Ovis aries: one gene and its partner. The protein of the gene in region 2 purifies or fractionates together with the protein of the main gene of each other region. This does not show direct contact. Links are inferred from orthologs where the notes say so. Each region holds a gene or a part of one and is shown on either strand. Other genes may lie near its edges.

Evidence for each region. Proteins that work in one complex are often made in the same cells at the same time.
Region 1: the proteins of ITGA2 (region 2) and ITGB1 purify together in Homo sapiens (co-immunoprecipitation; 3 studies listed by BioGRID and IntAct, with this or other methods). This does not show direct contact. The link is inferred for Ovis aries from reciprocal best matches to the Homo sapiens genes ITGA2 and ITGB1.

Annotation. Positions count from the first base shown.
Region 1 is NC_056066.1:19,329,689-19,333,339, forward strand, and holds part of ITGB1 (integrin beta-1), read left to right. Parts: coding exon 1-218; intron 219-877; coding exon 878-1,110; intron 1,111-2,897; coding exon 2,898-3,064; intron 3,065-3,651.
Region 2 is NC_056069.1:26,266,161-26,270,421, forward strand, and holds the start of ITGA2 (integrin alpha-2), read right to left. Parts: upstream 2,890-4,261; 5' UTR 2,789-2,889; coding exon 2,731-2,788; intron 1-2,730. UniProt on the Homo sapiens protein: Integrin alpha-2/beta-1 is a receptor for laminin, collagen, collagen C-propeptides, fibronectin and E-cadherin. It recognizes the proline-hydroxylated sequence G-F-P-G-E-R in collagen.

The DNA.
Region 1 (3,651 bases), on a different chromosome or scaffold from region 2:
GGTGTTTGCAAGTGTCGAGTGTGTGAGTGCAACCCTAACTACACCGGCAGCGCCTGTGACTGTTCTCTGGACACCACGTCCTGCATGGCCGTGAATGGACAGATCTGCAACGGCCGCGGCGTCTGCGAGTGTGGGGCCTGCAAGTGTACAGACCCCAAGTTCCAAGGGCCAACCTGTGAGATGTGTCAGACCTGCCTTGGAGTCTGTGCTGAGCATAAGTAAGTCTTTCTCAGTTGCTTGAAATAGGTGATTGGTCACTGTCTGTTCGCCTGTGTGTGATCGCACGGTACCTAGAACAGTGCCGACACCAGGCCACACTGTAAATAAAGTATCTGTCACCTTGAAGCCCACTTTTTAAATCTAAAAATTCTCAATCGCTAGTGTTGGCACATGATAGTGAATTGTATCCTATGAGTGTGGTGGTACCATTATTTCAACCTGAATTTGGTATTTAATTGAATCCATGTGGTAACCTTTGTTAAATTAGTATTACCAATTGCTATTTACTGCCTTTTGACTAAATAAAATGGAAGGTTTTGTCTAGCAGAAAGAACCATAATATCAGCAACACATTTCAAAAGTTATTTTGGCTTTATATTGTATATTTCATTTCTGATTGGGCTAGTTTTAGCTTACTACTCTTATTTCTTTTGGAGGATTTTAGTTTGAGCTATAATAAATCTATAATTTCACTTAGGAAGCTAGCATCTTTTATGTTTAGTTTTCCCACCAAGAAATGTCATATGTTTCTTCATTTATTCATATCTTCTTTCATCTCTCTTGGCCAAATTTGGTCAAATTTTGAGTCTAGCACACAAAATAATCTTTGAGCAAATATTATTATAAATAATAAATATAATCATTTGCATTTTAACAGAGAATGTGTTCAGTGCCGAGCCTTCAATAAAGGAGAAAAGAAAGACACATGTGCTCAGGAATGTTCACATTTCAACATTACCAAGGTTGAAAATCGGGACAAATTGCCCCAGCCAGGCCAGGTGGATCCCTTGTCCCACTGTAAGGAGAAGGACGTTGACGACTGCTGGTTCTACTTCACATACTCAGTGAATGGGAACAATGAGGCCACTGTTCATGTTGTAGAGACTCCAGGTAGAAATCTGATCATTTCAAAGTTTTTTGCATTTTCTTTTATGTCTTTCTGCTGGTTAGAGCTTTTGGCAGTTCCCCTTGATCCCTGGGTTGGGAAGATCCCCTGGAGAAGGGAAAGGCTACCCACTCCAGTATTCTGGCCTGGAGAATTCCATGGACATTCCATGGAGTTGCAAATAGTCAGACATGACTAAGCGACTTTGACTCACTCACATTTAGGAACAGCTTCCAGCTACTTTACATGACTACTTTGCATTCAAGTTAGGACATTTTAATCTCTTCAAACTTAAAATAGTATTTAATTAACTATAAGAAATAAGGGAAAGAGAAAGCAAATTTTATGTTATGGAGAGTTTGAAGAGTAAATGCAGTAACCCGTATAAAGCCCTTAGCACAGTGCCTGGTAGAAGGTACTCAGTAGCATCATCACTAATAATATTTTTAATAGCAGCTTGATTTAGGCTTGGACGCTGGGAAAGATAATTGTTAAAGGGTATTATATGGCATGAATTTGTTCTGCTTTTCAAGAGAGGAATCATTTTTATCTTTTTTTTTTCTGGGAACTTTTAGTACATTCTTTGGAATTTTCTGCATTTGTGATTAAGTTATTATTGGAATGTAAGTTTTCATTTCTCTAGGATAAATGTTAGGGATTGGGGAGAGGGCATATATTTAACTTCAAAAGAAACAGGCAAACTTTTTTAAAGCCTCTGTTATTATTTTGCATTTTCAGGTATGTGTGTTTCAAATACTGTTTTTTGAAGACCAGAAGCTTAAATTTTACCAAGTTTTTCTTTTGTAGATCTTGCTTCTTACTACCTTAGAACTCTTTGCATAACTCAACTTCATAAGTATTTTTCTCCTGTGTTTTCTTCTGAAAGTTTTAGTTTCTGGATTTGCGTTTAGGTCCATAACGTATTTTGGGCTGCTCTCAGTATCTGGAGTGGAGGTCCAGTTATTTGTAGGTAGATTTCCAGCAGTTCTTGTACCATTGCTTGAAAAGGCTGACTTTTCTCCACTTTGGGTGAAAATAAGATGACCTTATGTGTGTGGGCCTGTTTCTGACTTTTGATTCTGTTCCATTAATTTAGGCATCTGTCCCTTAGCTAATAACACACTCTTTCAATTACTGTTGCTTCACGGCTAGTTTTGTGACATCTGGTAATGTAAATTGTCCAGCTTTGTTTTTTCCTGAAAGTGTTTTTGAGACACTTTCCTAGTTCTCCTACTTCTTTGTAAATTTTAGAATTCGCTTGCTTGATATCCCACACATGTCCTGCCAGGATTTTGATTGGGATAATATTGAGTTTATAGATAAAATTGGGAGAGGATTGTCTAATCAATTGTCTAATTGATGAACATAGATAAAATCTCTCCATTTATTCAGATCTTTTTTAAAAATCAGTGTTCAGTAATTTTTAGCATATAAATCTTGTACATGTTTTATTAGGTTTATACATAAGTATTTTGTGATTTTGGTGCTATTGTAGATAATACTATTTTCTGAGGTTCCGTTTCTAATATATAGAAATCAGTTTTGGTATAATTCATAGAAATACATGATTTTTATTTATTGATCATGTACCTTATGATCTTGTAAACTTATCTGTTACTTCTAGTATCTTTTTTTATAGGTTCTTTTGGATAGTGTGCCCCAAGATACGTCACTTATCTTGGAGTTTCTATTCCTGTGTCTTTTGTGAGACTGCACAGCTCTCTGTGGTTCTGGCTGCACCTTCACAAGCTAACCCCCCTTGTGTGCGTATCCTTTGCTTTTTACTTTACAGAGTGCCCCACTGGCCCAGACATTATTCCGATTGTAGCAGGTGTGGTTGCTGGGATTGTTCTTATTGGCCTTGCATTGCTGCTGATTTGGAAGCTTTTAATGATCATTCATGACAGAAGGGAATTTGCCAAATTTGAAAAGGAAAAAATGAATGCCAAATGGGACACGGTAAGTTGGAAAACATCTAAAATGGAAGGTGTTTCATAAAGTAAATGTAACGCTTCTAAGACTTGTTTATTAGCTCTAAAGCTGATTATTAAAGTCCTTTAAATATTTCAGTTGCCCCCCAGAATTTATTATTCAGGAAACTTGCATTCAGTGAAAAACAGAAAACATCTTAAATACATCCCATTAAAAGAAAATAGTTGTAAGAATGTTTCTTCAGGTTACTGTGGTATTTTTATTTTCTTATTAATTTTAATCTTAACTCTGCTCTTCTGCCTTTTCTTCTTATATAAAATAGAATCCTGGGGACTTCCCTGGTGGTGCAGTAGTTAACACTCACTTCTAACACAAGGGGTGTGGGTTCAATCCCTGGTTGGGGAACTTGGATCCCACATACTTGGCATGACCAAAAAAATTAAAACCCTACATAATTTCAGACTATTCAGTGGAAAGCTGCTGCTTTTTTTTTTTTTTAATTTAACAAAGAACCCTAAGTAGAAATCAGCCACTCAAAAGACTACGTGCTGTGTAATTCAATTTATATAATAGTCTAGAAAAGGCAAACCCATGGGGACTAAACCTATGGTCTC
Region 2 (4,261 bases):
GGGACACGAAGTCACCTAAGTGGAGATATTTACTGAACCAGAACTCAGCAGAGGAGTCTGGCTGGAGATGCTGACTTGAATGGGGAGCAGGCCCAAAGAGAACCAGTAGAAGGAAGAGGATCCAGCATGGAACTCTGTGAACACCAGCAAGGACTGGGTCAAAGAGCCAAGCCTGTGAAGGAGACTAAGGAAGGACAGCCAGGAAAATAGGAGACAAACAGGGGGAACAGAAGCCAGGGATGGACGGTGTTTCAGGAGGAAAGAGCGGCCAAATCACATACTAATGGAGGGCCTGCTTACTAAGAGGGAAATTAGAATATTTACAGCCCGAGGGGAAATTAGGGATTTGAAAATATTCATTAGACAGTGGTGACTTGGGCAGGGTACCAGAGATAGCAGAAGATGAGGCCTAGAATCCAGGGGCAAGGATTATCCTTGGCCAAGCAACACACTAGAGAGTGTAAGTGACGTCATGCATTTAAAAATCACATTCCCTTTCCTCTATGGACCTTGGTTTATGGATTATCCAGGCCTCTTATGGTCTTTCTTTTCCAGTCTCAACCTGCTGGTTACCACTTCAATGATTGCAAGCACTTAAATCAAGGAAGATCAATGAAAGGTGATAAATATGAGACCAAACTAAGAGCACTGCTTTTTCTTAAATACCTGTGAGAATGTTTATAGACAGCCAATCTGAATCTAAGTGTTAAAATGAGATTTGATGGTTTTAAGTTTCTATAGTGGTTGGCTTATATGCTGGAGTGTATGCTAGATGTATAAATACACACACACATATGAGACTTTTACATTTTAATTTTTGGTATTTATATTGAACAATTATACATGGATATAACCTATAAACAACTACAAATATGTATGTATAATAATGATGGGTGCTCAAAAATTTTATACAGATAGGGTCATGCCATAAAAAACTGTAGCTGTCACAAACTGAGAGCTTTCAATTATTCACCTTAATATTGGATATGCATGGTATCAGAGAAACGATGCTGTTTTCCTGGGAACTTGGGTTCAGATCACAAATGAGAAAGCTTTATTACGATCATCCTGAATTAAGAGAAAACCTGTTCCTTGAGTACAGAAATACCTGGAGCAGGAGGAAGGAGGAACTACACAAACTGTTTGGACAGATGTCATTTTATATCACCTCTGCTGGCTTGCAGCAAGGTGTCGAGTTGTCCTTGTTAACCAACTCTGGGGGGAAAAAAACTCTGAACCTGACTTTATGCCTTGCAGTACCACATTCCTTTAAAGTTATTTCTCACTGCTTTGTTATGAACAAGCCTCAACACTTCGAAAATAAGAAAATGTTATATTTCCATAGCTTATGTTAATAAAGGGCACTTAAAGAGAGCTGAAAAGCTTGGACTGAAGGGTCCATTAGCTCTTAGGAAAGTGGTGGTCTCCAGGGACTGAATCTCAAGGTGAAAGTAACTTTATCTGAAACCTCTAGATTAGGGTTGATGGCCCATAAGAACATGTTTGGGGTCCCAGGAGAGAATATCTGAGGTAGTAGACCCAGGATTAGAGAAGAAAACTAACTGATGCCTATTCTCTGCTGGGGTGAGGACAATTTCTCTTTCTCTGCTATTTTTCTGTATTTCTGCTATTTCTCTAACCTGGAGCAAAGGCTACAAGGCTCTTCTGCATTAGATTTCTCTCAGGATCAAGGACAGCAACTGGCGCCTCAAAGGAGGGCAGTTTAGCAAAGATTATCCTCTAGGTATAAACATTTGAAAATGAGACCACTTTTTTTTCTTTTGCTAGCTATTCAAATTACAAAATACAAATGTGACTCCCCCACTCCACCCCAAAAGTAAACTAAAGTTCTTGAAATAAGCACACACGAGGCTCTGGATAAAGTTTGGACAACGCGCTCTTGAGGGACTGTGGTCGCGCCGCAGCTGGGCACCCCCAGATTCATTTCTCCACTTAGTGAAAAAGGGGTCAGGGGAGGGGCGGACCTGCCTGTCACCGCCTTGCCCTAGGAGCTACAGCTGCGCGTAATTCTTTTGTTGTAGCGCCAGAGATCGAGAAAGTGGAAAAAACTTTTTCTGGACCTAAGTTTGCATTCGTTGAACAGACGACGTTACAACAATAAGAGGAAGGCAGAAGGGCAGAATTCCCCTCTGCCAAGCATCTAAGAGGCGCTTGGTTTTCCTACGTCCCCCAAGGGAAGACACAGCAGTGCTGCGTTCTGGAGAAATGAGGACATTAGTCACACGCTCCGGGTTGAAAAATAAGCTTAATGGGCTCCCAGGCTCCTGCAAAGCCACCAGGCATCGCGCTGAGGGTCAGGCTACCTCCCAGGACCGAGCTGTCGGGATGCACAGAACCCCGGAGTCCGGGTCTGGCGGGGCACCTGTCTGAGCCGGACTGCAGGCGCCCAGCTAATCCCCACTCCCCCACGCTTCTGTGCGCTTGCGTGTGTGCCTGAGAGCGAAGCGCGCTTCCAGTTAACTTCGAAAGGTGCTTTACAGACAGGGTGAGACACGCCTTATGGGGACACCAGGCGGGGGCGAGCCGGAGCTGGGATGAGGAGTCCCTCTCCGTCCCGCGGGGAAGGCTGGAAGCCTGGGTCCACGTGGAATCAGAGCCGAGACGAAAGTCGCCTGCGTCTCGCTGGCGCAGAACTCCTGGCTCGTGCCCCCACCCGGGGACCCACGCAGGTTCCTCCTGCAACCGATGCGGAGCAAAGACGTCGCTTACCTTGACTGACCATTAACACCAGCTGCAGCGGCGTGCCGCCTGTCCGTCCTGGCCGCATCCTGAGCCCGTCGCCCTGGCGCTGGAGCTGCTGTGGGTTTGCGCGGGGATCCAAGGACACTGAGACTCTCCAGAAGCCGTCCCGAGGGCTTCTCTCCCGCTCCCGGGCGTGAGCCGGGAAAAGTTGCCCGGCAGCTCCAGGGGCGCCAAGGCCCGCCCCTTAGCCTCGGCACACAGCAGACCTGCCCCGGCCGACCCCGCCCACCCCCTCCGCCCAGCGAGCCACACCTGGCTGCTCCACACCCCCGGAAGCCTCACCTACACCCCCACACACCATCCCAGCCCCGAGATCCAGGAAGCCGCGGGGATGTGGACCGCGTGCCTGGGGGCCCTTCCTGCCTGCACAGCAGAAGGCGAAAGTCAGGCAGTCATCTGCCCCGCCCCCCGACAGTCTGACGTAAGCCCGGGGGAGACCCCGGGTCCCGGAGAGACCCTGGCCCTCGTGCAGGCCTTCCGGCTCCTGGCAGGGGTAGGAGGGCTGGGAGGAAGCCATGGGTCTCAGTCACCGTTCTCGGGGGCTGCGCGGTGCCTGCCTTCCTGCCTTTCCCAAGTGGGTGGAGAAACGGACAAAAATAAGCGCAGAATGACCAGGTTAGAAACTAACCCGACAGGAAAGAAGGTCTGCCCACAGGTTATGATTATCCCGAAGTGATATTTAAGCAAGAGCTGCTGCAAGAGCTGGGGGTGTGTGTGGGGGCCGGGGGGCGGGGGGAGGGGGTGTTGTGTGTGTTAAAATTCTCATTCCTTCCTCTCCAAGATAATAAGCAGCTGATTTCATTGTTAACTTGAAGGGATTTACTTAAAGACACAAAGACCAGTGAGAGCCCCAGTACGAACTCGTGATGCTTCATGTTTGCATTACATTGTGAGTATTTTCTTCCATTATTTCAGGCCCAGGTCTGGAAAGAGAACATTCCATAACTACTGAGCTTTTTACTTCCCAACCTAAGAAATAGGATAATCAATTTTCTTTAAATCTGGATTTTCCTCTGAAAGTTTGCCCACAAATTCCCAGCACGTTGCTGAAGCCAGGATCCTTCCAGTAATCAAATATTTTAATAAACTAAATGTAAGGAGTTACTAGTCTAATCATTATTATTAGCACCATTCTAAACCTTTATAAAGCAGGTAACTATGAGAAGGAGCTTCCCTTGTGGCTCAGACAGTAAAGAATCCGCCTGCAGTGCAGGAGACCCAGGTTCGATCTGTGGGTGGGGAAGACCCCCTAGAGAAGGGAATGGCTACCCACTCCAGTATTCATGGCAATAGTCCATGAGGTTGCACAAAAAGATATTTGCCCCTTGGAAGGAAAGCTATGACAAACTGAGACAGCATATTGAAAAGCAGAGACATTACTTTGCCGACAAAGGTCTGTCTTGGTCAAAGCTGTGGTTTTTCTGGTAGTCATGTAGGGATGCTCACTGGACCATAAAGAAGGCTGAGCACCAGAGTTGATGCTTTGAAATTGTGGTGC